4 linked regions of the Cricetulus griseus genome follow. The protein of the gene in region 1 interacts with the protein of each later gene in a pairwise test. Links are inferred from orthologs where the notes say so. Each region holds a gene or a part of one and is shown in the gene's direction. Other genes may lie near its edges.

Region 1 (7,424 bases):
TTTTAGCAAAAATAAGCTTATACAATGCACGGTTTTGTAACCTTCCTTTTCCATCTACCGGCGTGTCCTGTGAAGAGCATTTGAATTTAGATGAGAGAGAGGGTAAGAGCCAGGACAAAGGCTCTCTTCCTAATGGAAACTAGTGTACTTCTGGCTGGCTGGAGGAAGGGGCTTTTGCAGAGGACCAATGGGAGCCAAACGCTGAGATGCCTTGAATACCAGACTTGGAACTTGGACTTTTGGGGTCCTTCTCCTCATCAGATGTTCTTGGGCTTTGGCAGGGGAGCACAGCACTGTGAGGACTCTGTCTTGGGGACATAGGACAAACTGACAGCAGTTTGTGGTGTCACCTGAAGGCAGGGAGGCCAGGCACTGGCTAGGGAAGATGGCCAGATTCAGCCCCGATGCCCAAGATGGCCCAGGGCTGTCACTGCACCCACCAAAGCCACAGGCGCTCCCCCTCACCAGGAAGGGACCCTTCCAGCTCAGTTCATGCCCAAGAATGAAGAATTTCACTCCCTCATTCACCCAGCACTCTCATTCACCCAGGGCACTTACTAGGTGAGTGAATCCCTCACTTGGTTGTGCCAAGTGAATCCCTGTTTTTATCACTGTTCATTTCATCAGCCTTCACCTTCCTCTCCTCAGGTGCGTAGCTACAGGGGCCTCCTGGACCTCACCAAGCAGGTGCTACAAGATGAAGGCACCCAGGGCCTCTTCAAGGGCCTGTCCCCCAGCCTGCTGAAGGCGGCCCTCTCCACCGGCTTCATGTTCTTCTGGTACGAGCTCTTCTGTAACCTCTTCCACTGCATAAGGAGTGAAGACAGATAGCTGTGAGCATGGGAGGGGCCTACAGTCCACACTGGAGGCGCCTCTCCTGACCAGACTTGTTCTGCGCGCATACTGGGCGATGGCTGCTGCCTGGTTGACCTAGGCCGGCTGTCCTGGGCATGAAGAGTTATCCACAGCCGATGGCAGAAGGGCAAGGGCCTTTTCTGAAAAGAACAGAGAAGGGAGAGCTTGGGCTGTAGAAACAAGGCCACTGAGAAGGAGCCTGGCATTGTTTCTCCTCTGTCCAGCCCAAAGGAGTCAGCCATCCTCTGCTTTGTAGTCCTGTTTTTGGGGGAGAACGCTCCCAGTCCTGGGAAGAGCATGGCTTGTGTACAGAGGGAAGGGACTGGGCTCTTTGTAGAAAAATCTAACCCACAACTTGGTGTTTCTCCTACTAACTTATTTAATAGACATTAAAGCGAAAGACACATTCCTCACGTCACTCTTGCAGCTCCTGTCATGAGTCACTTCCCAGATGAGGGAGGGAGGGTGATGGGAGAGGCCTTTGTGGTGTCCCTGCAGTTGCCGCCCTGAGGCAGCCATGTTCTTCTTTTCAAGGGGAACCCTTCAAGGTGTCACTCTTCAGCTTAGCGTGGGTGCTGCACACATACGTGTCCTCTGATCCCAGGAGGGCCTCAGCCACAAAGCAGTCCAGTGATGGGGCTGGCCAGCCGCCTGGGGGGACATGGCTGGCACCGGTTAGCAGAACCAGGGACCCAGACACATCTATCTAGATGGAGAGGAAAAACTTGTCAGGGGCGCGAGAGAAGAAGCACACCTCGACAGCCGTCTTCTCCATGCTCCTGCCTGGCAGCGGGCGAGAGGACAGACCTTGACTTTGTGGGATCCCTGCCCTACAATAACTTGGAATGTAATGCCTGCTCGGGATGGACCTGTTCATGGAAGCTGGAACTTGTGCCCCGCGTGAGCCCCACCTTCCTCCTCTGTGGTCCCTTTGTACCCCCTCCCCTAGAGGCTGAACCTTCTCTGATCTGATGGTCCAGGCTGCTCTTGGGAGAGCTTCTGAAGTGGCTGGGCTCTTGGCTTCCTGGGCTTGGGGCTGCAGCAGTGTGGTGTGGTGCTCGTCTGCAGACACATGGGCAAACGTCTACTCTAGAGAAGGAGCAGATGGCAGACCAATGCAAGGTCTGAGGGCTTCTGTTGCTGCCTGAAACACCACCACCAAAAAGCCGACTGGGGAGGAGAGGGTTTATTCGGCTCACACTTCCACATTGCTGTTCATCATGGAAGGAATTCAGGGCAGGAACCTGAAGGCTGGAGCTGCTGCAGAGGCCATGGAGGGGTGCTGCTTGCTCAGCCTGCTTTCTTATAGAACTCAGGACCACCAGCCCAGGGTGTCAGCACCCACGATGGACTGGACTCTCCCCATCAATCACTAATTTAGAAAATGCTCTCCAGGCTTCCCCACAAGTCTGATCCTACGGAAGCATTTTCTTAATTGAGGTTCCTGCTTCTCACATGACATTAGTTTGGTGTAAAACTATTTAGCGCACAAGGCTGGAGAGATGGCCCAGTAGTTAAGAGTACTGGCTACTCTTTCAGAGGACCCCGGTTCAATTCCCAGTACCCTCATGGCAGCTACAACTGTCTGATCCAGGTCAAAGTGATTTGACGCCCTCATTCTGACATAGATACAGTCAAAACACCCATACACATAAAGTAAAAAATAAATCATTAAAGCAAAACAAAACCTTCAGCACTACCAAAGTCCAACTTGGTGAACCAATGAGGTTGACAGCTATCGAAAGCTGGGAACCACTGGGCGGTGGTGGCCCCAGCACTCGGGAGGCAGAGGCAGGCGGATCTCTGTGAGTTCAAGACCAGCCTGGTCTACAAGAGCTAGTTCCAGGACAAGCTCCAAAGCCACCGAGAAACCTTTTCTCGAACCCACTCCTCCCGCCCTCACCAAAAAATGCTGGGAACATGGAACACACTGAACAGCCTGCAGGTCCACCAGGCAGCTCAGTGGTCGGGCCTCTGAGGTCAAGTTGACCGATCTTGACTATGCTGGGCAGCCCAGCCCATGGCGGCTTCTTCCAGGCAGCTGTGCTGCTGACCCGAGCCCTTTTCAGGCAGCCTGGCTTGGGTGCTGAATGCATCTCGGTGGTCCTCATTGCCTGCACATCCTTAGTAGGGAGGGGCTTCCAGGAGCCTTTGAGTTGTTCGCGCCCCTAGAACATTCGGTATCTTTTATTTCTTTTCCGTTTTTCGAGGCAGAGTTTGTTTCTCCTCTTAGATGTCCCATCTTAACCTGGAGGCTTTAGTCGGCTGTCCGAATCTTTCAGTTTGCTTTTTTATAAAGTAAATCCCATGCTCCTCATTTGCCCTCTGGCAGGCGATTCCTTGGCTGCCGCAGAGGAGAGTTCTCTTTTGTACCTATTACCATGACTGCCGCGACAACTCTTAAAATAAGCGCGAGCTCTGGCTGCTGGTCGCCTGTGTGCCCGTGAGGTGGGGAGGCCACAGCGATGCTCCCGAGTCCCCCCGGGGAGGACCCAGGGCCCTTTCTCCAGGACCGCCCCTTGGATTTAAAACTTATTTTGCCAGGGTGTGCCCCAGACCTTACACACCTTCTGCTTTAACCAGCCCAAGCCCGGAGGACAGTGCCCAGGCTGCTGCGATTGACTCGCCCCGCCTCCCGGTAGGCCACGCCCTCCCGAGGCTCCGCCCACGCCGCGCGGCCCGGGAGTCTCCCACCCGGTTCACCTGAGCCCCGCAAGGGACATGGTGACCCTGGCGGGGGTGCGACCCGGCAAGAGCAAGGGCTTCATGCGGGACGGAGAGCGGGTCCGGCCGAGCGCTCGAGGGCCTCTGCGGACAGGAACGAGGCTGAGGTGCGCCCGGTGAGGAGGGGCCGGGGGCGGCGAGCGCGGCGCGGCGGTGGCGATGTCGCAGACGTCGGTGCGGATCGGTCTCCGCGCCAAGCCTGGGAGCGGCCCCGGGCGGCGGCGGGGTGCGCAGGCGTGCGCAGCGGGGAGGGGGGCGGCAGGCGGCGCTGGCGAGCTTCTCAGGCGCCTCCGTGCGAGCCGAGCTCAGCTTCCGCGCGGTGGCGCGCCGGGCGAGCGCTGCGCAGTCCCCGAGACGCGAGCGCCCTCCCACGCAGGCTAGTCGGAGCCCAACGGCTGCAGGGGTGGGTGTTGTGGGCGGAAAAGGACTGGCTAACGCGGGGGAGAAGGGCTCCAAGCCCTGCTGGTATCAGGATCCGCGCCTTGGACAACGCCGGCAAAGGAGCCGAGCCAGAATTCTCCATGCCGGATAACTTGGGCGAGTCTGACGTCTCCCTCTCCACAACCCAGTTCAGTATGCGCTCCCCTAAATGCACCCTGATACTGGCTGATAATAACCCAGATCCTGCCGCGGCCGTAGGTGAATTCCCGCTTCATTCCTCGTATGTAATCGCAGAAGCCCGGGTTTCCTCAGGCTGAGCTGCAGGTGCCTACTTGATGCTCAAGTCTCCACCAGAAGCCAAGTGTGGTGGGCTGAGAGCGACAGAAGTCCAGTTACTCCTGTCCCTCCCAGGCCCGGCCCGGCCCGCCCCACCCAGTGCCTACAGGACTAGAAAACCGAGCTCTGCGATTCTCACGCGAAGCCTCTTCGGTCTTTGCTTCTCAGGTGCTGACATTAGTTTCAGGCCAGTGAAAAACTGCTGAGGCTGGACCGTCATGGGGGAGGCCAGTAGAGATGAGTATAAAATCCAGTCGTTTGATGCAGAGACCCAGCAGCTGCTGAAGACTGCACTCAAAGGTGAGCCTACCGGCCCTTCTACTTGGGCAAGAGCTGCAGAGGGGCTGGCTGAATGCCCAGCCTCCCTGTGCCTACCCGAGAGTAAGTCACAACCTCACTCTTGGACCGGAAGACGAGCTCCATCTAGGCCATTATTTTTGAGAATGAATCACAGTCCTGTTTGAGATCATACAAAGCCTTTAAATGCCCAAGAGAGAGGGAACACGACGGCCGTCCCTTTAAAGCCACATTCGATGCAGCCAGCCAGCCTCCTTGAGTGTCCACAGCTGTCTGGCTGAGGACAGAGGCTGGGGAAGCAGCTTGCTGCAAGAGAGGTGTCATTGCCCGGCCCTATGTCCTTCCATTGTAACAGGACAGGAGTTTGACTAACAGTTAGCATTGTCCCTCCTGTGCCCAGCTAACCCCAATAGGGAAGTCTCTGCAGGCTCATGCCTGGGGCTTCTGTGTTTTGAGCACACTTGGAGCCATGTGGTGGAGCACAACTGTAGTCCAAGCAGATTACAGAGGCAGGAGGATTAGCTGCTCTACATAGAGAGAGCCTGGGGGAGGGGAAACAGGCCAGCAGTGTAGAGCACAGGTTGCAAGCCAGGCACGGTGGGCTCCTTTAGTCCCAGCACGCGGAGGCAGAGGCAGGTGGATCTCTGAGTTCCAAGCTGGTGTGGTCAGCTCCATAGTGAATTCCAAGATAGCCAGGGCTACATAGTGACCCAGTCTCTCTGTCTCTATCTCTGTTTCTCTCTCTCTCTCTCTCTCTCTCTCTCTCTCTCTCTCTCTCTCACACACACACACACACACACACACACACACACACACACACACACACACAAAACCATAAAGATGACTTGCAGAGGACCTGGAGTGGCTCATAGTCATTGGTAACCTGAGTTCCTGGGATCCAGTCAAACATGGTATTCATACATGCATGCAGACAAAATATTCATACATATAAAATGAATGAACCTTAAAAAAATTGCACAGTGAGGTATAGGCCAGCCAGTGCTATTAAATAACAGAATTAGACTGTCTCAAAAGACAAAAAAATTAATCCCAGCACTCAGGAGGCAGTGAGTTCGAGAACTCTGTGAGTTCTGGTCTACAAGAGCTAGTTCCAGGACAGCCTCCAAAGCCACAGAGAAACCCTGTTTCGAAAAACAAAACAAAACAAAAAACCCCCAAAACAAACAAAAAAAGTTGTAGAAGTCTTGACATTCAGTTTACATTCTTCAACCTACTGCCAAGAAAATAAAACATAGATTCCCAAGAAACTACATTTGTACTTTGGTCTCTTCTAGCCTCATAATCCTTTATTTAATTAATTTATTTATTTATTTGGCACAGGACTCTCAGTGTAGCCCTGGCTGACCTACAATGCAGCTCACTCTGTAGACCAAGCTGGCCTCAAACTCAGGTTGGCATGCCTCTGCCTCCCGAGTGCTGCCATTAAATGTGAGTGCCACTCCTGGCAGTATATAATTAAATTTTTTAAAATTTAGTTTGTTGGGCAGTGATGGTACACACTTTTAACCCCAGCACTGAGGAGGCAGAGGCAGGTGGATCTCTGTGAGTTTGAGGCCAGCCTGGTCTACAGAGTGAATTCAAGCACAGCCAGGACTGTTTCACAGAGAAACCCTGTCTGGGGAAAAAAAAAAAAAAAAACAGAACAATTTAGTTTATCTATGTGTTTACCTGCGTGTGTGGATGTGCACCCACCATGCACAGCAGTGTCTGTGGAGGCAAAAGAGGGTGTGAGAGCCTCTGGAACTAGTTACAGGCAGCTGTGACTAGTGTGGGAGCTGGGAATTGAACCTGGGTCTTCTTCAAAGGCAAGTGCTCTGGGCCGGTCAGTGGTGGCACACGCCTTTAGTCCTAGCACTCGGGAGGCAGAGGCAGGTGGATCTCTGTGAGTTTGAGACCAGCGTTGTCTACAAGAGTGAGTTCCAGGACAGGCTCCAAAGCCACAGAGAATTCCTGCCTTGGGACCACCCCTCTCATTCCCCTCCCCCCAAAAAAGGCAAGTGCTCTTAACCGTTAAGACATGCTTCAACTCCCCTGTTTCCTGATTGCACAGCCAGGGTCCTGACAGTGAGGCTGGTGTAGGCATGGTTGCAAGCATCTGCTTGGAGACTACATATTTATTGGTTTGGCTGCATTGTGTCCAGACTTTGGTTCCACACATCGTAGTTAGGCATAGTGCTTGGTCCCTAAATTCTACTCTTTACACCCCCAACTCTGGTTTTTATTTTCTAGATGGGAATCTCACTATGTAGCTCTGGCTGACCTGGAACTTGCTATGTAGACCAGGCTGGCCTGTCTCTGCCTCTCAAGCCCTAGGATTATAGGTGTGCACCACCCAACCCAGCTTCTTTTTTTTTGAGACAGGGTCTCATGTAGCCCAGGCTGTCATAGAACTCTGCATGTAGCCAAGGGTAGCCCTCACCTCTTGACCCTCCTTGTTTCTACCTCCCAAGTGCCATCTGGCTGGTTTCCCCCGCATCTTTTTAAGCATGGGATAGGATGTTCTCTCACAAACATCTCATCTTGGGTGTTGGAGTACTCGACTTTAATCCAGTACTCAGGAAGCAGAGGCCGACAAATGTCTGTGGGTTTGAGGCCTGGTCTACATAGAGTGTTCTAGGCCAGCCACGGCTACGTGGTGAGAACCTCTCCCAGAAAAACCAGCCCCTCCAGCCCTTAGCAGATGGAGGCACACAGGCTTAAGCAGGCAGCTCTAGACTCTGCTCCTGTCTCTACCCCAGATCCAGGCACCGTGGACTTGGAGAAAGTGGCCAATGTGATTGTGGACCATTCCCTGCAGGACTGTGTGTTCA
Region 2 (7,439 bases), on another chromosome or scaffold:
GGCTTTGAGGATGCTTCAGTTGAAATTTTGTGTTTGAGGTATGCAAGAACTTTTGAGGTTTTTCAAATACATTCAGGGTCTAGCATGTGCTGCTAGGCAAGAGATCAGTTGCATGTTTTATTTCTTTTTTTCTTTTTGGTTTCTCGAAACAGGGTCTCTGTAGCCTTGGCTGTCCTGGAGCTCACTCTGTAGACCAGGCTGGCTTCAGATTCACAGGGCTTGCCCCTGCCTCCCACATGCTGGGATTAAAGGCGTCCACCAACACAGCCAACTCATGTTTTATTTCTTAAGCCAAGTGGTAGGAGCCTAGGTAAGAGCATAGAACATCAGGTCACATTCATCCCCTCACTCATTAATTTTCCCTCTATCCCCCAGAAGCTGAGGTATTTGTTAAATATTATTCCCTTCATTATCTGAAGTAAAAACAATTTTTTTTTTAGACAGTCTCACTATTTGTAGCCCTGGGTGGCGTGGAACTATGTGGACCAGGCTGGCCTACCTGTGCTTCTAGAGTTCTGGGATTAAAGCATTGTATCACCACATTAAGGTGTTTTTTGTTTGTTTTGTTTATTTTTTAAAGGTTTATTTATTTGTTTATTATGTATACAGTCTGCATCATGTGTCCATGAAGGCCAGAAGAGGGCACCAGATCTCATTACAGATGGCTGTGAGCCATCATATAGTTGCTGGGAATTGAACTCAGGACCTCTGGAAGAGCAGCCAGTGCTCTTAACCTCTGGGCCATCTCTCCAGCCCTAGTTATATTTATTTTTAAATAAGATGGTCATGTTGATCTCCAACTCCTTATTCTCCTGCTTCAGCATCTCAAGTACTGGGATTACAGGTTGCACCACCATGCTTGACTTGTACAATTTTTTTAGTTTGGGTCTGGTTTTCTGAGATTCTGTCTCAAAAGAAAATGAGCACAAGGAAAATAATTTCAGAATTCAAAACGAAATTTCAGATGGGAGTGATGGCTCATGCTTATAATCCCAGCATGTGGAGACTGAGGCAAGCAGATCACTGTGAGTTAAAACCTCTCCTAAATAGTCGTCGATGTGTTTCTGATGACTTTCATTCTGTACACACACCTATGTTAGTTTGTTTCATTTTGTTGAGCAAGGAGAACCTATTCTATATTGCATCTTGCATAATTTAATGTTTAACTTCATTTTATTTTGTTTGGAATTTCTTAACCTTATGTAGCCTTGAAAAATACAAAAAAAAAAAAAAAAAAAAAAACCTCAAATTTTTTTCTAGTTGATTTTTCCCCAGGATTTCTTCTGACTCGCAATATGGTCATGGCTCCCAGCCTGTGCTTGGTTGTCCTCTGCCTGCACCATCCTTACGTACTCACCATTGCTTGACATTAATTTGTCATGTAATATTAGTAAAATGTTTTCATAAAGTTCCAAGAAAATTCTCCAATTCCTTCCAAGAAGTAGCCAGGGATAAAGGCCTATTTGATCCCAGTTAGGGGAAAGCAAGTATTTCAGTCCTTATTTTACTATTCTAAAAACTAGAGCTATTTCCTCCTCTTAAAGATTATCCAGGGCTCCAAAGCTACACAGAGAAACCCTGCCTCAAAAAACCAAACCAAAATAAAATAAAAATTATCCAAAACTAAGGCTGAAGAGATGGCTTAGAGGTTAAGGGTGCTTGCTGCTCTTGCAGAGGACCTGGGTTCAATTCCCAACACCAACATGATAGTTCACAACTATCCATAACTCCACTTCTGGGTATCCAATGCCCTCTTCTGACTTTTCTGGGCTCCAGATACACATATAGTGCACAAAGGCATGCAAGCAAAACACTCATACACATAAAATAAGCAAGTTTTTTTTGTAATTATCCAAAACGAAATAAATAAAACTCCAGCTACACAGCCTTTACATAGGAGAGGAGAGCTGGCCATCCGAAGAAGGCATAGATGATTCCAAAATCCATATATTTCCTTATTAAATGGCTCTTGCCACCAGGGATTGAATTGGATTGGTTGGATAAACTGACTTACTCTTTCTGGTTTCTGATATTTTACCAAAATTTTCAATTTATCAAGAATTTGGTGTTTTCAAAACTCAATTTGGGACAGATCTTTGTTTCACAGGACTGATTGCCAATACTTAGAAATCTTATTAAATTGATAAGAACAGACACTAAGTAAGCTGAGGCATTTTAAATAACCTGAAAAGTTAAAACAGCTATTTGCTTGCTTATGTATTCTGAATGTAATAGTTATATGAGCCCCTCTATACCACCATGCTGGGTGTGAAGGTGATTTCCCTCCTTTAGTCAGAGAGCATTTAGTCTAGGCTACCTCAGTTGGGTAGTAGGGCAATCTGCAGCGAAGTGGTAGAGGCGGGGACCTGAAGACTACCTTAGAGTTGCCAGGACTTTAGGGGCGCAGAGCTGACGCGGGCTCTGACGACACCGCGGTGCGCCGCTTCCGGTCGTCTGCGCCTCAGTGAATGATTTCCCCCGGGGCGGAGCTGGGCCTCGCCGCGACCCACCTGAGCCCACGGCCGCGCCGCCTAATCGGGCGAGCCTGTCAGCACTGCCCCGGCACTGGGGACCATGGCCACGGATTCATGGGCCCTAGCGGTGGACGAACAGGAAGCCGCGGCTGAGTCGGTGAGTTGTCACCAGCCGCTGGAGGACCATGGGACCAGTGCCGGTCAGGATCGCGGTCTCTTGGAAAGACACTGTTTAGGTTGCTCGGTGCAGGGCGGAGGAGCCTGGCGGGAATGGGACTTGGCCCCAAAGCTGGCTTTGCTTACCCAGCCCCTCCCACGTTGTATAAACTCAATTTGGGTGATCCAGCCATCTGCCTGTCTTCCTGGAATCAGGGTTGATAATCGATTGCACTCACAACCTCGGATGGCAATTTTTATGTAGCTTCAGATACAAGTTTCTTGGGCTCACGGACCATGTCTTACTCATTTATAACTCCTCCCACTGGGTTATTGGTGCTGGATGATTGACTGGTTTGGCAGTAAATCCTCTCTTGATTAGCTCTTTTTCTTAGCCTGATACATTGTAGCAAGACGTGAGTTAAATATTGCTATGTACAAGTAATTTACAAACATTCTGAAATTTAGTAGAGATTTGAATGTGACTCTCAGTACATATATCTGTGTATTTTCCAAGAATAAGTATTTGTCCGATTTAACTTTTTTTTAGTAAAGAGTAAAGGTTTCAGCCTGGCATGATCTGGCACCTCTCATCATATCTCTTAGAGGCATAGGCAGGAAGATTGCCTCAAGTTGAAGGCCACCCTGAAAGAAAAAATATTTAGTTTAGCTTAAAACTTTTATTATAATATATATAGTAATATAATTATTTACCCACATGGTTTAAAGAGAAGTAGTGTTTTGGACTTTGTTCACTTATTTGGGTATTTTTAATTTTTTCTTTTCTGAGACAGAGGACCTTGAATGAATGTATGTATGTATGTATGTATGTATGTATGTATGTATGTATGAATGACTGACTGACTGGAACTCCTGATCCTCTGTCTCTTATGTCCTGAGTGCTAGGATCACAGGCCTGCATCACTGTGCCCTGTTTGAGAAAAGTGTTCTTTTTTCTTTTTCTTTTTTTTCCTTGAGACATGGTTTCTCTGTAGCCTTTTTAAAAATTAATATACAAAGTGCTAGGTTTCACCATAGCATCTTTATACATATGTGTATGATTCTTTGTCCTTCCCTTACTCTCCCTCGGGTGGCTTCCCTCCAGCTGGGTTCCCTTTCTTCACCTGTGTAGCCTCCCTCCTGCTTTCCTGTTAACTTTATTTCCCACCTACCATAAGACCTCTTCCTCCTCCCTCATGACCTCCTTTCTAGTTTTGTGACCTATAAATACACAGATAAATAGGTGTACAAACACCAATATATATAATTTTGCATTATGAGCAAAAACATGTGTTTGTTTTCCTTGGTCTGGTTTATTTTGCTTAACATAATGATTTCCAGTTGTACTCATTTTGTGCAGGTAACATGAGTTCACTTTTCTCTATAGTTCCATAAAATTCCACTTTGTATACCACATTTGCTTTATCTATTCATCTATGAATGGACTTCTAGGCTAGTTCCATTTCCTGGCTGTGTAGCTATAAATACAGATGTGTAAGTATCTCTGTAGTATGTTGACTTTGTCTTTCATCCTTTGAATACACAAGAGTGGTATAGCTGGATCATGTTCTATTATCAGTTTTGTTTTGTTAATGTCTGTACTGATTTCTGTATTGGCTTCATTAACTGATCTGGTTAACATTTCCCAAGTGCTGGGGTTACAGGAATGCATAGTTGTCATGCACAGTTCATGCAGTTTGTGGAACTGAACTTAAGAGTTTCCTGTGTGGTAGGCAAGCACTCTACCAACTGAGCTACATTCCCAGCCTCATATTTCTTTTTCTTTTCTTTTTTTGTGGGGGGGATTATCTACTTGGTTATTGGCCCATTCATTAATTGAACAGTTTGGGCCTTGGGGGTTTATTTTTGCACTTCTTTTAAAAAATTAAGACAATTTTATTGATTGCATGTAATTTTATGTATGTTAGCATATATTACAAACTTTAACTCACTATATAGCCCAACTGGAATTTAATTTTCTTCTTTTTTTTAAATATTTATTTATTATGTGTACAGTGTTCTCTCTGCATGTCTGCTTGGATACCAAATCTCATTACAGATGGCTGGGAGTTACCATGTGGTTGCTGGGAATTGAACTCAGGACCTCTGGAAAAGCAGCCAGTGCTCTTAACCTCTGAGCCACCCCCTCCCCTGGAATTTAATTTTCAGCAGTCCTTCTACCTCAGTTTCCCCCAGTTTGAGGATTACAGGTTTGAGCTACCAGGCCAAGATCCCAGTTTTGATTAAAATGTTATCTTTTAATTAAATGGACTTTCTGTATTTATATTATTATTTCCTAAGTACTTTTTTTTTTTTTTTTTTTTTTTTTTGAGACTGGGTCTCTCTACATAGCCCTGGTTGTCCTGGAACTCACTATTTATGCTAGGTTGGCTTTGAACTTACAGAGATTCACCTGCTTCTGCCTCACAAGGGCTGGGACTAAAGGCATATGCCACCATGACTAGCTCTTTAAATTTTTAAAATTACATGTATCTGGCTTTGTGTGTGTGTGTGTGTGTGTGTGTGTGTGTGTGTGTGTGTGTGTGTGTGTGTGTGTATGTGTGGTGGGGAGGGGAGGTCTTGCCATAGCACGAATATGGGAGCCAGAAGACAACTGGTGGAATTGCTTCTTTCCTTGTACCATGTAGGTCCTGAGGATTGAACTCAAGTCTTCAGGTGTGGTGGCAGATGTCTACCCTCTGAGTCTTCTTGGCCATCCCCTTACTTACTTGATAAAACTTGTTTTTCATGGAGTTTTTAATTGGCCTGTGGTTTGCTTGTTCATTTATTATCAGCTCGCTCCTTAGCTTGATGCTGGTAGTCTTTATATCAAGATGTCCAACTACATGTGGGGAAAAAAAAAAGATGTTCAACTACATTAAGCATTCTATTAACTGTTTCTTTCATAACATTTAGTGTGATTCAAGCTGGACTGTCCAGACCCTCCTATTTTTAGAGTACAGCTCATTTTTGTAGGGACAAGGAGAAACAGCAGATTTGCTATCAATCTCATTCAGAAGGATTCCTTCTTCCTTTCTCTTTTGTTGAATATACTCTCTTCTCCCTCCTTTACATCCCTCCTCCTCGTAGACACAGGGTCTCATGGAGCAAGAGCTAGCCTTCAACTTACTATGTAGTCCAGGATGGTCTTGAACTCCTAATCCTCCTGCTTTCACCTGTTGCATTCTGAGATCACAGGTATGGACAACCATGACCAGTAAACTAGCCCCCTCCCCTACCTTGGTTTTTTGAGGCAGGGTTTCCCTGTGTAGCTTTGGAATCAGTCCTGCAATTCACTCTGTACACCAGGCTGGCCTTGAACTCAGAGATTCTCCTTCCTCTACCTCCTGAGTCCTGGGCTGGGATTAAAGGCATGTGCCACTACTGCCCAGCTGAGTGAAGGATTTTTTTTTTTTAAGGTGGATTTTTTTTTTAAGATTTTATTTATTTATTATGTGTACAACATTCTGCTTCCATCAGAAGAGGGCACCAGATCTCATAACAGATGGTTGTGAGCTACCATGTGGTTGCTGGGAATTGAACTCAGGACCTCTTAACCTCTGAGCCATCTCTCCAGCCCCTGAATGAAGGATTTTTATGTTTTAAGATTTCCTTTGTTCTCTCTGCTAATCTCCTTGGTCTACTGTCTCTCATATGTTCCTACTATTCTGTAACACCAATGGGGCTCCTCCATCTGTATCTAGCTACCAATTCAAACAACTTTTTCTTTTCTTTTTTAAGATTTATTTGTTTATATGTATACAGTGTTCTGTCTGCATGTGTCCTTGCAGGCCAGAAGAGGGCACCATATCTCATTACAGATGGTTGTTGGCCACCATGTGGCTGCAGGGAATCGAACTCATGACCTCTGGAAGAGCACTCGATGCTCTTAACCTCTGAGCCATCTCTCCAGCCTAGATTTTTTCATTCTTTATACCCTTTACTAGCTGGTAGCTGAGTCACTACTCAGGACCTTTGGGAGAGCAGCCAGTGCTCTTAATTGCTGAGCTATCTCTCCAGCCCCCTATTAAGATACTTACATCCTTATGGGTGGATATAAGTCATACCAGGATATTTCTAATTTATACTGTTTGACAAAGTCCTGTTAATTATTGCCTTGGAACATTTCTCTGATCAGTTTCTTCTTTTCTAGTCCTAACTGAACCTGTCTTGGTTAATTTTGGTTGTGCCTGGTATCGCAGTGCTCTCAGAATTTATAGTTATAATGTCAGACCCAGTACAAAGCAGCTTGAATGTGAGGCTGCACGTTAGCTGTTGTGGTCTGGCTGGGACCTACCCAGCCATATAACTATGATGGGTCACTGCTGCTCTACTTTGTAATCTTTCCTGCTGGGTATTGGCTGTCAAAAGTGAGACTGATTTTTTTCCCCCGGTCTTTGCATTTCTTTTCTTTCAGGACAGAAGAAAATGACAGTTCTGACAAAATCTTACCGAGAAAGTCTTTGTAAAACAAAGCATTAAGCAAGCTTACAAATTATAATTCTTCATAGAAATTGTAATTAGGAAATGTGAGGTTGGGACTACTATATAATCTTTTTTTTTCTTTCCTACTGCTGTATTTATGGGAAATTTTGTTATTTTCTTTCAACAATTTGAAAGTAAAAGGAACCCAGTAGAACAAGCTAATGAATCATTGCTACTGAATATGCCTAGCAAGTAAGTCTTGAGAATAGTTCTTCCAGTTTAGTTAGGGAGGCTCTGTTGACTCACAGTCTTTTATTTGATTTTCCTGACACTTTCCATCCCCCCATTCTCCATTTAGTTGAGCAACTTGCATCTTAAGGAGGA
Region 3 (7,341 bases), on another chromosome or scaffold:
TTTTCTAATTCTGTTACTATGAACAAGAGCCCAGAAAACACCACCAAACCAAACCCTAAACCTTGCTCTTGAGTTCCTCCAGCTTAACCTCACAAAATGGCATCCAGTTGCCTAATGTTCAAGTTAGAAACCTGGAATTCAACATGAATCTTGCTTCCTGCTTCTGAGCCAATAAAATACCAAGTCCTTTGCATCAGTTGTCCATTGCTGTGTCACAAGTCTTCTCAAAACAATGGTTGTTGGATGTGGTAATAAATGACTTTAATCCTAGTTTTCAGTAGGCAGACATAGGTAGATTAAGTTTGAGGCCAACCTGGTCTATATAGTTCCAAGCCAACCAGAATTACACTGCCTTAGCTGTACTTGGTAGCACAAGCCTGTAATCTCAACAGTCAGAGGGTTGAGGCAGGAGAACTGTGAGGCCAAAATGAGACTGGATCTAAAAAGAAAACAAAAACCACTTTTCATTTTTGGTTCTAGTACAAAATGAGAGGGGCTCTCCAGACCAGGTACCTGCTTCATTCAAATGCATCTTTTGCTTCATACTGTGCTCCAGTTCTGCCTAATTTGATGGGCTTGCATACTTTTTTTCACATCTCCCAGCTCAAACTGAAGCAAGGACAAAAAAATTGGAAGAAACTGCCAAAGTTAAAGGCTGAGTAGAAAATGTCACCTCCAGGCTTCTAGCTGATGTGAATGTGGGGAAATAGGAAATAGGAGTCCTCCAGTTCAGCAGAGAGTCAGGATGCACAATACAAGGAGAAGGGGATAAACTGTCAGTCCTGCTTCTACAAATCCTGTTCTTTTGGAGAAATCTCAAGGCCCAGTGGTTAAGAGCACTGGTGGTTTTGGAGGATCCAGGTTCAGTTCCCAGCACCCAGCACCCACATGGCTGCTCACCACTATAACTCCAGTTCCAGGGGATCTGATACTCGCACAAATATAAGTGCAGGCAAAAACACAATACACAAAGTCATCTTTAAAGAGTTAAAAGAGCTCCCTGGGTGTGGTGGTGCAAGCCTTTAATCCCTCTGGAAAGCAGAGGCAGATGGATCTCTTGAGTTTAAGGCCAGCGTGGTCTATAAAATGTGTCCCGTCAGGGCAGCCAAGGCTGTTACACAGAGAAACTGTCTTGAAACCCCCTTCACCTGGAAAAAAGAGCTCAACACACTGATGACTGTGCAGGCTGGGTCTTCTCTGCCACCTAGATGTTCTAAACAACTTGTGATTCCATTAATTTTTTTAAGATTCTATTATGTATACAAAATTCTGCTTCCATGTATATCTGCACACCAGAAGAGGGCACCAGGTCTCATAACAGATGGTTGTGAGCCACCATGTGGTTGCTGGGAATTGAACTCAGGACCTCTGGAAGAGCAGCCACTGCTCTTAACCTCTGAGCCATCTCTCCAGTCCCATCCATTAATTTTTTTAATCACTTTATTTTATGTGCATTGGTGTTTTGCCTGAATGTCTTTGTATGGGTAGCAGATCTTAGACAGTTGTGAGCTGCCATGTGTGGGTTCTGGGTATTGAACTCAGGTCCTCTGGAAGAGTAATTATTAGTCCTCTCAATCTCTGAGCCATCTCCCCGCTCTCCATTCTTTTTTGTTTGTTTTGTTTGTTGATACATGGTTTCTCTGTGTAACAGTTCCGGTTGTCCTGGAACTAATACTGTAGGTCAGGTTGGCCTCAAACTCAGAGATCTGCCTGCCTCTGCCTCCTGAGTGCTGAGGATTAAAGCCGTGAACTACCATGGCCTGGCAGTCCCATGAATCTTTTTTTTTTTTTTTTTTTTGGTTTTTTGAGACGGGGTTTCTCTGTAATTTTGGAGCCTATCCTAGCACTCGCTCTGGAGACCAGGCTGACCTCTAACTCACATAGATTCACCTGGCTCTGCCTCCCAAGTGCTGGCATTAAAGGTGTGGGCCACCACAGCCGGACTATTTTCTGAATCTTTTTGGCATTTTGTCACCCCTTTCCTGACCTGTTGCTTACTATATGTAGAGGGATCTGACCTGTACTTGATTTTTCGAGACAAGGTTCCTCTGTGTAGTCCTGGTTGTCCTGGAACTCTCTTTAGACCAGTGTGGCCTGGAATTGAGATCCAATTGCCTGTGGAATTAAAGGCCTGTGCTATCACTGCTCGCCCATTTTATTTTTATTTATTTTGTTTTTTTCTCTGTGTAGCTTTGGAGCCTATCCTGGCACTGGTTCTATAGACCAGGCGGGCCTCGAACTCATAGAGATCTGCCTGCCTCTGCCTCCAGAGTGCTGGGATTAAAGTCATGCATCCCCAACGCCTGGCCTCATTTTATTTTTAAATGTGTATGCATGTATATGTCTGTGACCAAAAAGGCTAGCAGAAGGCATTGGATCCCTTGATATCTCGGCATTTGAGAAGTGAAGGAGAAAACCGAGCTCAAGGCAGCTAACTGCAAGAAACCTTGTTTCAAAACCGTACTAAAAACTATTTTACTATGAAATGAAGAGATGCAGTGAATACTAAAAGTTACTCTTTGTAGACAGAGCTCTTGGGCGTAACTCACAATCAGACCTCACCTAGCGAAGCAGGATTTTTGTTTTTGTTTTTTCGAGACAGGGTTTCTCTGTGACTTTAGAGGCTGTCCTGGAGCTAGCTCTTGTAGAACAGGCTGGTCTCGAACTCACAGAGATCCGCCGCGAAGCAGGATCTTAAAACACAGGGCACGCTTACTGTCCAGGGGCGGAGCGCGAGTGGGACATGACAAAGCGAGACAGGAACTGACGTCAACTCCGCGCACGTCTCCTTCCGCTCCGCGTGAGCGGCGCTTAGCGCGGGCTGGGACTCCACGCTGGTGTTGGCGTGGTGCGGAACCTCTGCAGATCCCGCTTGCCTTGGGGACCATGGCCACCGACTCCTGGGCATTGGCGGTGGACGAACAGGAAGCCGCTGTCAAGTCGGTCAGTGTCCTGGCGGGGACGGGGGACTCAGGCGGACGCTGTTTCCAGGACCTCCGAGTCGGGTCGGCCTGCGCGCCGCAGGAGTTTGCTGCGGGCAATCACTTAGTGCTGATTTGCTCCTAGAGTGAAGAAAACCCGCAGCGAGCTTCTTATCCGAATTTGGACTGAAAAGTTTTCCCGTGGTGATTCTGTCCTCACTATGTGTGCGAGGTTCCAAACTGGCTCTTTCTCTTGACCTTTATAACAATTGGCAACATAAAATTTTCTTTTTCATTGTTAAGGGACAGTTTTTGGGTGCATTTATGCTGCTTTCACCTAACTTCTTACGTTCATGCCTAATGTGGTTGACAGTTTGTAGCTCTCCAGAATAACTGTGTGTGTGTGTGCGCTTGCTTGCTTGCTTGCTTGCTTGAATGCCTCACATAGCTACAATACAAAACTGTTTAGTTAATATTTTAGTGACATTTAGTTTCATTTCTTAGATTTTGAGTGTGTGTGTGTGTGTGTGTGTGTGTGTGTGGTTATGGTGTGTGTTGGTGTGTTCGAGACAGGGTTTCCTTTAGTCTGGGTTGGCTTCTGACTTGTTGGATAGCTGAGGTTGTGTACTCCTGTCTTTCTACCTCCTCTTAAGTGCTGGAATTACAGGCTTGCTGCCTTTGTTTTGTTTTGAGACAGACCAGATGGCCTGCAGATCACTGTTTAGCTCGGTGTGGCCTCAAATACTTTTAATATTTGCTTATGTTTGTTTTGTGTTTATATGTGTACTCCTTTTGTCCCTACATATGTTAGAAGAGGTAACTGGAGATAGAAACCGACATGAGCCTCAATGTGGATTCTGGGAACCAAACCTTAGACTCCTGCAAGAGCAGGAAGCTCTCTTAACCACTGAACCGTCACTGTAACTCCAGTATTTATTTTTTTAAACCATTAATTGTACTTATGATGTGTATTATGTGTTTTGAGCATGCATGTATCACGGTGTGTATGGAGGTCAGAAGACAACTTGTGAGGATAGTTTCTGGACCTACATTGTGGTCCCAGGGATTGATTCAATTAATCAGACTTGATGACATGCAATTACCCACTGAGCTATCTTATGAGCTCCAGTCTGAAGTTTCCAATCTAATGTTTAATATGAGCTTATGCCTAAAAGGTAGTGACTGGGAATTGTTTTCAATTTAATTATATGTGTTTGAGAAGGAGATCTCACTCTGGCCAGTCTGGTCTTAAAGCCCCGTACTCCACTAATCCTCCTGTCCTAACTGGAAATGCAGGAGGGTACCGCCATACCCACCTTTCTCATTTTTTAAAGTGTACTATCCAAAGCTGGGGACATAAGTTTTCTAAGTTACAAACTTGCCTAGCCTGAACAAGGCCCTAGGTGGACACCTTGCACTGCAGGGGTAAAAAAATATGTACCTAATCTCATTATGATATGAATGTCACCGGTACCACCTAAACATCCTTAATATTTGACCTAACCATTCTGCTTATCAGAAGACTGATGCCCCTTGAGATATACTTCACCACCACCACCCCAACACACATACACCTTTTGCCACATAGACCTGTGTACATTTCCTGTCCACAGAGGCAATATTAATCATCAGAGGTTGTGTGCTGTGGTGAATCCAGAACAAAGGACAATGGGCAGTTGATTGGCTGGCCTTTCCCATTTGTGGTTGCTGTTCACTCTCAAGACAGGCATACTTGTCTACTAGCAGTTCTTCCTTGAATGCAGCTGCTAGATTCTTGCTTTTGACATCCTTTATCCCTTCAGAGAAAGCTGTTTTTTACACAAATCATGGTTTAATTAACTTAGTTTTCTTTTTTATCAGGCCTTTTGGAGGCCAGTCTTAATGTGGAAGAACTCAAGATGGTCATTATCAAATTTTCAGAACATCCCAGTTATTTATGTTGGTCGCTGCATACATCCTGAAAATAAGGATTAACCAACCAATGATAACTTTTGCTATGCCATGCCTCTCCTGTGTATTTTGGGCTTCCTCTGGACATTCCCCCACTAAAAAAAGAAGTGTGGTCACCTGCGTTTTTGTAGAAAACCTGGTTCCCAAAGAGATCAGATGAAAACACTAACTTTTGTGGTGGTTTGAATAGGTCCCCCATAGGCTTGGAAATTTTTTAACTCTTGGTCCCCAGTTGGTGCCGCTGTTTGGGGAGGCATAGGAGGCATGTCACTGGAGGCAGGCCTTGTGGGAAAATAAAGCCCCATTTCAAATGCAGTTCAACATGAAAGCCCTCAGCTTCTAGCTCCAGTCACCATGCCTCTGCTCTGCCATCGTGGACTCTTAGCCTAGAGTAACTCTTAGAACCACAAGCCCAAGTCAACCCTTCTGTAAGTTGTCCTGATTATGTTGTTTTATTACAGCCGTAGAAAGGATATGAGCCGGGCGTTGGTGGCGCACGCCTTTAATTCCAGCACTCGGGAGGCAGAGGCAGGCGGATCTCTGTGAGTTCGAGACCAGCCAGGTCTACAAAAGCTAGTTCCAGGACAGCCTCCAAAGCCACAGAGAAACCCTGTCTCGAAGAACCAAAAAAAAGAAAAGAAAAGAAAAAGATAGGAAAGATATGCATGTGTGAGTAGATCTTTTCTCAAAGGCCTAGCTAGCAGTGTCAGTTGGAGAGGGCAGCTTGGAAAGGATGTTATCATTTAGCAGAGTATAGCAAGTTTGAGAGCAATATTCCAGGAAAGATAACAGTTCATGGTAGGTGTATTGGCTCACAGTTTTTTTTGTTTTTGTTTTTTTAAGATTTTATTTATTATGTGTACAACATTCTGCTTCCATGTATATCTGCACACCAGAAGAGGGCACCAGATCTCATAACCAGTGGTTGTGAGCCACCACGTGGTTGCCGAGAATTGAACTCAGGACCTCTGGAAGAACAGTCAGTGCTCTTAACTGCTGAGCCATCTCTCTGGTCCCCTGGGAACATCTTCAATACTACTGTATTAGTTGCTTTGATCTTTGCTGTGACAAAATATATGACAAGAACAACTTAAAAGTTTATTTTGGCTCATGGTTTAAGAATGACGGACACATGGTCCATTATGGTGGAAGGCATGGTGCTAGGAGTCACAGGGATCCTCAAGTAAGATGATGATGATGATGATGATGATGATGATGATGATGATGATGATGATGAAGCTTCACTAACCTTCTCATTCAGTCCTGGACTCTAATTCAGGGAGTGGTGCTGCCCACATTCTGTGTAGTGTTGGTTTTCCTCCCTCAGATAAACTCAGAGGGTTATCTTCTATTGATTCTAAGGACGGTTGAGTTGACAGTCAAGATTACCATCTTACCATTTTCAAATCACTCTTAGCAGTTTTTAGAACATAAGAAATATTTGTGAGCTGTGCGTTGGTGGCACATGCCTTTTATCCCAGCACTGGGGAGGCAGAGGCAGATGGATCTCTGTGTTCGAGGCCAGCCTGGTCTCCAGAGCGAGTGCCAGGATAGGCTCCACAGCTAACACAGAGAAACCCTGTCTCGAAAAACCAAAAAAAAAAGAAATATTTGTGAGAGTCTGGAATGATGGCTTAGTGGTTAAAAGCACTGACTGCTCTTCGAGAGAACCCAGTACAATTCCCAGCATTTACATAGCAGCTCACTCCTGTTTGTAACTCCAGTTCCAGGGCCTCTGACACCCTCACACAGACATACATGTAGGCAAAACACCAATGCACATAAAATAAATTTTAAAGTTTGTGAAAGTGGAGCCTTGATTGCAAATTTATTAATTATTGCTCTGATTGTACTTTCTATTATAAATTATCAATTCAGTTTCTGTTGATGAAGACCATGTAGCCAACAGTTAATTAAAAAAAAAAACCAAAAAAACCTTGTATTGAAGTTCTAGAATTTTCATTTTTTTTGTTTTGTTTTTTGAAGGCAAAGTCTCATGTGGCACAAGCTGGCTTCTAACTCATGATCTTTAACTTTATTCTTCCTGCCTCCATCCCCCAAGTGCTGTTTCACTGCACCCAGTTTATTGTAATACATTTTAAAGTAACTTAACATACAGGTGGAGCTGATGGAAGTAGAAGCAGACACCCACAGCTAAACCTTGAACTGAACTGGAATCCAGTTGCAGAGGAGGAGGACTGATGAGCAAAGGGGTCCATACCAGGCTGGCGAAACCCACAGAAACAGCTGACCTGAACAAGGGAGAGCTCTTGGTCCCCAGACTGATAGCAGGGAAACCAGCATGGGACTGATCCAGACCCCCTGAATGTGGGTGTCAGTGAGGAGACCTTGGAAATCTATGGGACCTCCTGTAGTAGTTCTGTATTTATCCCTAGCATAGGTGTGGACTTTGGGAGTCCATCCCACATGGAGCCTAGACACAAGGGGGTTGGCCTAGGCCCTATCCCAA
Region 4 (7,436 bases), on another chromosome or scaffold:
AGATGTCTTTAATTCTGCACTCGGTAAGGCAGAGGAATGTGAATCTAAAGAGATTGAGGCCAGCCTGGTCTACACAGTGATACTATGTTTTGTTTTAAAGGTTGAGCAAGGTGGTGCACACATTTAATCCCAACACTGGGGAGACAGAGGCAGGTTCGGTGTGTTTGAAGCCAGCCTGTTTTATGGAGTGAGTTCCAGGACACTCAGAACTACACCGAGAAACCCTGTCTTGAAAAACCCCAAACAGGCCAGGAGGTGGTGGCACATGCCTTTAATCCCAGCACTCGGGAGGCAGAGGCAGATGGATCTCTGTGAATCTGAGACCAGCCTGGTCTACAAGAGCTAGTTCCAGGACAGCCTCCAAAGCTACAGAGAAACCCTGTCTCAAATTCCCCTCCCCCCCAAAAAAAAAATGAAAAGGAAAAGAAGAGAAAAACCCCAAACAGAACAAAACAAGCCATGCATTACAGGCCAGGAAGCAGCACTCCTCCATGGCCTCTCCTTCAGTTCTTGTCTCCATGCTCCTGCCTTAAGTCCCTGCACTGACTTCCCTCAGTGAAGGACTATAAGCTGGAAGATAAAATGAACAATTTCCTTCCTGAGTTGCTTTTGGTCATAGTGTTTATCACAGCAATTGAAAATTGACTAAGACAGCTTTCCCAGCATGCACTGGGCTCCATCCCTGGCATTAAATAAGCCAATCTGGTGGTGCTTGCCTGTCATCCCCTCACTGGGGAGGTGGAGGTAGAATCAGTAGCTTGACACCAGCATGGGCTACACAAGACTGCTCCTCAGAAAAAGAGCAAAACTATTTCTCTATAGGTTTTCACTAGTGCAAGCATCGTTTGAAAGGTCACCACTTACACCTCAGCCATCTGAGTGCCAGATGACAGGTGTGTGCCACCACTCCCCACTGCACAGCCTTCTTACTGTCACGTCTTTGCATACAATTTGCTCATAAGTTAAACTATTACCTGGCTCCAAGGAAAGATCTTATTAATACCTTATTTCTGTACTTTTAAGTTTATTATTACTGTATGTGGGTGGGTGTTTTGCCTGTATCTGTGTTTGTGCACCACGTGCATGCCTGGCACCTGTGGATGAGGTCATTGGATCCCTGGGACTAGAGCTATGGACAGTTGTGAGCTGCCATTTGGGTGCTGAGAATGGAACCCAGGTCTGCTGGAAGTGCAGCCAGTGCCTTTAACCACTGAGTCAATGCTGTCCACTTAAATTTTGTTTTTAGAATTTTCCCATTTGTAGACAGGTGATGGTGGCTTATGTCCCTAATCCCAGCACTAGTGAGGCAGAGGCAGGCAGATCTCTGTGAATTTGAGGCCAGCCTGGTCTACAGAGCAAGCTCCAGGAGAGTCTCCAAAGCTACACAGAGAAACCTTGTCTTGAAAAAACAAAACAAAAACAAAAACAAAGCAAAGGCCATTTGTCTGGATTTTGCATTTCTCTAGTAAATTTTTTGTTTTGTTTTTGTTTGGTTGGTTTTGTTTTTCAAGACAGGGTTTCTCTGTAGCCCTGGCTGTCATGCACTTACTTTGTAGACCAGGTTGGTCTCAAACTCAGAGACCCACCTGTCTCTGCCTCCACAAGTGCTGGGATTAAAGGTATGCACTCCTGCACACGCACGCGCGCGCGCGCGCATACACACACACACACACACACACACACACACACACACACACGGCTCCATAATACAAATTCTACGTGCTGGAAATATAGGTCATCACAAGTGCGCCCAGCGTGTGCTTTCCATCTGCACTAGCAACCCAAACTAAGAAAGAACTTCTTGGAATGCATGTTCCCAGAGGCTGAGAATCAAGTAAAGGAAGATTATACCAGAGTTCTAGGGGGTGTAGCTCTGAGGAAGGAGAAAAGCTTAGTATGGGAAATAGTTTAAGATGACACTGGTAGGAACCCATTTCACATAGAGGAATATTCCCTGAGCCTAGACACACGGGGGAGGGCCTACGTCCTATCCCAAAGGATATGACAAACTGATGACCCCCCCCTATGGAAGGCCTCACCCTCCCTGGGGAGCAGAAAGGGCATGGGATAGGTAGGGTGTTACTTGGGGGAGGGAGGCAGAGGAGGAGGGGAGGGAGAGGGAACTGGGATTAACATGTAAAACAATGTTGTTGCTTTCTTCCTTTTTTTTGGGGGGGGGTTCGAGACAGGGTTTCTCTGTGTAGCTTTGGAGCCTGTCCTGGCATTCGCTCTGGAGACCAGGCTGACCTCGAACTCAGAGATCTGTGCCTCTGCCTTCCGAGTGCTGGGATTAAAGGCGTGTGTCACCAACGCCCGGCCTTTTTTGGTGTTTTTTATTTTTGTTTTGTTTTGTTGACAATGTTGTTTCTAATTCAAATAAAAAACGGAGGAAAAAAAAAAGATGACACCGGTAGAACTTGCAAGATGTCTTTGCAGCTAAGAAGGCTGACTGCCAAGCCTGAAGACCTGGGCTCAGTCCACAAGAGAATAAACTGGGGAGATTGCTATGAGTGCAAACCCAGCCTTCGGTACATCAGTGCGTGGTGCTCATGCCTATAATTTCAGCCCTTCGGAGGTTGAGGCAGGAGGATTGTCGGGAATTGCTGGTTATCCTAGCTACAGAGTGATACAGTGACTTCTAATCCCATCACTCCCCCCCAAAAAAACAATAAATTAAGTGGGTGCGGAGAGTTTAAGAAGTTCTGGACGGTCTCTCTGGGACCTCCTTCCAGCTTGGGTCCCCGTACTTCGCTGCACACGAGAGTCGCGTGTCCGCCTTCGTCCATAGGGAGGCGCTGTGCTCGCCGCGGTCTGGCCGCTCTAGGCTGCAGGGGCGGCACCGGAAGCCTCGTTCTCCCCGGGCTTCCGCTCTCTACCCGGGCTGGGAGCTGCGTGGAGCTAGACTTCGCGATGCCGACGGGCGACTTTGAGTGAGGACGGGGCGGTGGCGGGCTCTCCAGAGAGGCGGTGTGGGGCAGCGCTGGGTGTGTGGTGATCCGGGCGGCGCGGGGGTCGGGACCCGCTCACCCTTCTCGTGTCTCCGCAGCTCGAAGCCCAGCTGGGCCGACCAGGTGGAAGAGGAGGGCGAGGACGGTGAGTGCGCGTGTGCGTGTGAGTGAGTGCGTGAGTGCGTGCGTGTGAGTGCCTGTGCGCGGCCCTCCGCGCCCTGTCCCGGGGCGGGCCGAGCCCCCGGAGTCCCCAAACCCACCCACACCTTGGCCTGGACGTCCCAGCCGTGTGTTTCACTTTCCGTCCCCCCCGCCGCCCCCGCATTGCCTCTGACAGACAAGTGTGTCACCAGCGAGCTCCTGAAGGGAATCCCTCTGCCCACCGGGGACACCAGTCCAGAGCCGGAGCTACTGCCCGGAGGTGAGCCCCGTCCAGCCCTGCCGTCCCCTCCCCCTTCCGGCCCTCGAGCCCGTTCCCAGCAAGTCCCCGTTATCCAGGACTCAGTTCCTGTTGTCTTCCCACAGAGCCACTGCCACCTCCCAAGGAAGTCATCAACGGGAACGTAAAGACTGTGACCGAGTACAAGGTAGATGAAGATGGCAAGAAGTTCAAGGTGAGGCCGAGGTGGCCGCGGGGGCGCTTGGATTGGCGATGAGGGCTGTGAGTGTTGGTTTGGATTGGTGAGGAAGGAAGGCCTTGAGGTTCTGGAAGTCCTTTCTCCCTTTCCATCTTCAGATTGTCAGGACCTTCAGGATTGAGACCCGGAAGGCATCGAAGGCTGTGGCCAGGAGGAAGGTGAGGCCCTCCCATCTGACTCACTTTGGTGTGTGTATGCGGAGGGGTCTCCAGGACTGGCCCAGAGGAGTTGGGAAGTCCTTTCCTGTTGATGTAGAATTAAAAATTTAGTGTCAGGCCCTGGAAATTCAGGGTCCAGGAGTAGTTGAGGTTAGATTTTTTTCCCCCCTTTTGTGTGCTCCTGTGTACAGTGTCATTCCTCCAGCAAATTCCTCTTGCATTGAGATGGGCTTTTGTCATCAGGAATTAGATTTGACTAGCTGGCCACCTATCCCCAGTGAGCCTGTTGTCTCTACCTTTGGAGATAACAATCACATGCTTCTGTGCCCAGCTTTTCATTGTGGGTGCTTGGGATTGGACTTTGATGGGTACTTTTGTGACAAATAATTTGCTAACTGGGACATATCCATCCTCTTGAGTTTTTTGTTTTGTTGTTATTTTTATTTATTTTTTGGTTTTTCGAGACAGGGTTTCTCTGTGTAGCTTTGGAGCCTATCCTGGCACTCGCTCTGGAGACCAGGCTGGCCTCAAACTCAGAGATCCGCCTGCCTCTGCCTCCTGAGTGCTGGGATTAAAGGCGTATGCTACCAACGCCCAGCCTTAATTTATTTATTTTTAAAGATTGATTTATTTGTTTATTATGTATACAGTGTTCTGCCTGCATGTCAGAAGAGGGAACCAAATCTCATTACAGATGGTTGTGAGCCACTATGTGGTTCCTGGGAATTGAACTCAGATCTCTGGAAGAGCACTCAGTGCTCTTAACCTCTGAGCCATCTCTCCAGCCCCATTTGTTGTTATTTTTGAGAGGCTCTTGCTGTGTAGTATTCAGATTCTAAATGCTTCTGCCTAGCCTCCTGGGTCCTGACTTAGATTCTTACTCCTTTGCTCTGTCTACTTGAAGGAACAAGCAGCCTCTACTGAGCAAGGGGCAAGGGCTTCTGGAGGAAGGACATCAACACATTGAGAGCAAGGCTCCATGCCAGGCATTTAGCAAGACATGGCTTCCCAACCTCTAGATCAGGCTAGGGAGGCAGGGAGCTTTGTGGTCCCATTTAACTAGCTTAAGGTTCCTGTGATCTGAGTGACTCTTGGACATCCTCCAGCTTCCTCCCTGGTGGGAGCCCGCCCTGCACCTGCCTAGAAACTTCAGTGGCACAGTTGTGTGCCATTCTACTCTGAGTCTCCTTGCTGTTTCCTGGAGTTTTTTTTTTGCTTCTCTCCTTATGGGGTGTGTGTGGGGGGGGGTAGGTGTGTGGGTGTGTCTCGGGGTCATGAATGGCTGTATATTCACACTCAGACTAGAGGAGGAGATTGGGTGACTTGCTCTGTCATGTCACTTTACAACTTATTCTCTTTAGATAGGGTCCCCTGCCCCTGGGCTATATTTAACTCTTTGGTTTGTTTGTTTTTTGTTTTTCAAGACAGGGTTTCTCTGTGTAGCTATGGAGGCTGTCTTGGCACTGGCTCTGGAGACCAGGCTGACCTTGAACTCACATAGATCTGCCTGCCTCTGCCTCCCAAGTGCTGGGATTAAAAATGTGTGCCGCTACCACCTGGCTCATACTTTCTATATGAGAGTTTTGGGTTCTTTCATGTACAATAACCGGTTTTACACACGGAACCACCTCACCAACACCCTCCCCCCTTCTCCCCCACTCCTTTGTTTTGGCCTCATACAGCAGAGCTCAGGCTGGTTTTGAACTTGTGTATCTCAGGGTGACCTTGAGCTCGGAATCTTCTGTTTCCACCTTTAAGTGTCAGGGTAACAGTTACATTCCACCAAGCCTAGCTTAGGAAATGAGAATTGTCACCATTATCACATGGGAGGCCTCTGGGGACACGAGAATGTAGGATTTAAGGCTCTGACGGGGTTGTCTGTCTGGGGTACCCCACTCTGCTATCTTACTGCCTTTGTCCCCATTTTTCCCTATTCTTCTGGGAACCCAGAATTGGAAGAAGTTTGGCTACTCTGAGTTTGACCCACCGGGGCCCAATGTGGCCACCACCACAGTCAGCGATGATGTCTCCATGACATTCATCACTAGCAAAGAGGTGAGCAGGGTGAAGCTGGAGACCCAGAAGTGCAGTGGGGGTGGGGTGGACAGCGGCCGGCTCTGAGCCACTCTTCCCTATTCCCCACTAGGACCTAAACTGCCAGGAGGAGGAAGACCCAATGAACAAGCTCAAGGGCCAGAAGATTGTGTCCTGCCGCATTTGCAAGGGCGACCATTGGACCACCCGCTGCCCTTACAAGGACACACTGGGGCCCATGCAGAAGGAACTGGCTGAGCAACTGGGCCTGTCTACTGGGGAAAAGGAGAAGCTTCCGGGAGGTATGGGCCTAGGGCATGGGAGGGGCCTCAACACTTTTTTTTTTTTCCGAGATAGGGTTTCTCTGTGTAGCTTTGGAGCCTATCCTGGCACTTGCTCTGGAGACCAGGCTGGCCTTGAACTCGCAGAGATCCGCCTGCCTCTGCCTCCTGACTGCTGCGATTAAAGGCGTGTGCACCACCAACGCCTGGCTAACTTTGTGGTGTGCTGTTTTCTTTCTCTGTGGCCATGTTGGTGCAGCCTATGCCTGGGTACCCTCATAGTTACCTCGTTTGCTTGGGGCATGGTCATTCCTATGTATATGTGGCTGGTGACTTATTCTAACGCGCGCGCGCGCGCGCGCGCGCGCGTGTGTGTGTGTGTGTGTGTGTGTGTGTGTGAGAGAGTGTGTGAGTGTGTGTGTGTAGGGAGTATCCGTGTGCTGAGCTCACTGGCTCTGTAGGTCAAAATCTAATGTGCCATGTATGTAGCTGCCTGTTGGTGACTTGTGACTTGTGTGGAGCTTTGCCTCTCACCTATCATGAACAGCCCAGGGACACCCTCTGTCATAGCCTGTAGTCTGGGCTCTGAGAGCCTGGTGTTCTCTAGCTCGTGGGGCTCTGCAGTGCTGGGCTGTGGGTGCCAGCACCACACCTGTCCTGTAGCTTGCTCACTTTACCCATACTGTCTCAGTGGAGACTTTGAAGGGTGGTAGCTTCTGGATGTGACCATTGGGGTCACCAAAGCATGACTGAATGCCTGTAGCTCAGGGCTAGGGCTGAATGTGACTTTGTCCACTGCTTTCCAGAGCTGGAGCCTGTGCAGGCCACCCAGAACAAGACAGGGAAGTATGTGCCCCCGAGTCTCCGGGATGGGGCCAGTCGCCGTGGGGAGTCCATGCAGCCTAACCGAAGAGGTAAGAGGCTAGGAATAGCCTAGGTAGCAAGTACATAACTAGACACCCTGTAATTATCCTGTGTTGTGGGTGTGGGGTCTAATGTGGCGTTCTTCTCACCACCAACTCACCTTCCCTGCCTTGCTCACATAGCCGATGACAATGCCACCATCCGAGTCACTAACCTGTCTGAGGACACACGTGAGACTGATCTCCAGGAACTCTTCCGGCCTTTTGGCTCCATTTCTCGTATATACTTGGCCAAGGACAAGACCACTGGCCAGTCCAAGGTGGGTGGGTTGGTCTGGGGAATGGGTAGCTGGATAGTACTGGTTCTGGGACCCACTTCTTACCCTCCGGCCCTGACTATCTGCCCTTGGCCCCCAGGGTTTTGCTTTTATTAGCTTCCACCGCCGGGAGGATGCTGCACGAGCCATTGCAGGGGTGTCTGGTTTTGGCTACGACCACCTCATCCTCAATGTTG

Evidence for each region.
Region 2: the proteins of Mif4gd (region 1) and Ddx19b interact in binary tests that used the Homo sapiens proteins (3 or more experiments, as listed by UniProt). The link is inferred for Cricetulus griseus from reciprocal best matches to the Homo sapiens genes MIF4GD and DDX19B.
Region 3: the proteins of Mif4gd (region 1) and ATP-dependent RNA helicase DDX19A interact in binary tests that used the Homo sapiens proteins (3 or more experiments, as listed by UniProt). The two-hybrid records come from large-scale screens. The link is inferred for Cricetulus griseus from reciprocal best matches to the Homo sapiens genes MIF4GD and DDX19A.
Region 4: the proteins of Mif4gd (region 1) and Eif3g interact in binary tests that used the Homo sapiens proteins (3 or more experiments, as listed by UniProt). The link is inferred for Cricetulus griseus from reciprocal best matches to the Homo sapiens genes MIF4GD and EIF3G.

What each region holds. Positions count from the first base shown.
Region 1 is NC_048600.1:128,203,269-128,210,692, reverse strand, and holds the start of Mif4gd (MIF4G domain-containing protein), read left to right. Parts: upstream 1-3,499; 5' UTR 3,500-3,695; intron 3,696-3,996; exon of another isoform or gene 3,997-4,284; intron 4,285-4,464; 5' UTR 4,465-4,514; coding exon 4,515-4,596; intron 4,597-7,352; coding exon 7,353-7,424. Other genes in the region: Slc25a19 (mitochondrial thiamine pyrophosphate carrier), read left to right, coding at 649-831. UniProt on the Homo sapiens protein: Functions in replication-dependent translation of histone mRNAs which differ from other eukaryotic mRNAs in that they do not end with a poly-A tail but a stem-loop. May participate in circularizing those mRNAs specifically enhancing their translation.
Region 2 is NC_048596.1:187,428,875-187,436,313, reverse strand, and holds the start of Ddx19b (ATP-dependent RNA helicase DDX19B), read left to right. Parts: upstream 1-2,477; 5' UTR 2,478-2,574; coding exon 2,575-2,631; intron 2,632-7,413; coding exon 7,414-7,439. UniProt on the Homo sapiens protein: ATP-dependent RNA helicase involved in mRNA export from the nucleus.
Region 3 is NC_048596.1:187,401,643-187,408,983, reverse strand, and holds the start of ATP-dependent RNA helicase DDX19A, read left to right. Parts: upstream 1-2,780; 5' UTR 2,781-2,886; coding exon 2,887-2,943; intron 2,944-5,520; exon of another isoform or gene 5,521-5,540; intron 5,541-7,341. UniProt on the Homo sapiens protein: ATP-dependent RNA helicase involved in mRNA export from the nucleus.
Region 4 is NC_048597.1:133,766,453-133,773,888, reverse strand, and holds the start of Eif3g (eukaryotic translation initiation factor 3 subunit G), read left to right. Parts: upstream 1-2,819; 5' UTR 2,820-2,910; coding exon 2,911-2,930; intron 2,931-3,046; coding exon 3,047-3,093; intron 3,094-3,285; coding exon 3,286-3,369; intron 3,370-3,473; coding exon 3,474-3,562; intron 3,563-3,684; coding exon 3,685-3,744; intron 3,745-5,694; coding exon 5,695-5,799; intron 5,800-5,890; coding exon 5,891-6,080; intron 6,081-6,865; coding exon 6,866-6,973; intron 6,974-7,105; coding exon 7,106-7,242; intron 7,243-7,339; coding exon 7,340-7,436. UniProt on the Homo sapiens protein: RNA-binding component of the eukaryotic translation initiation factor 3 (eIF-3) complex, which is required for several steps in the initiation of protein synthesis.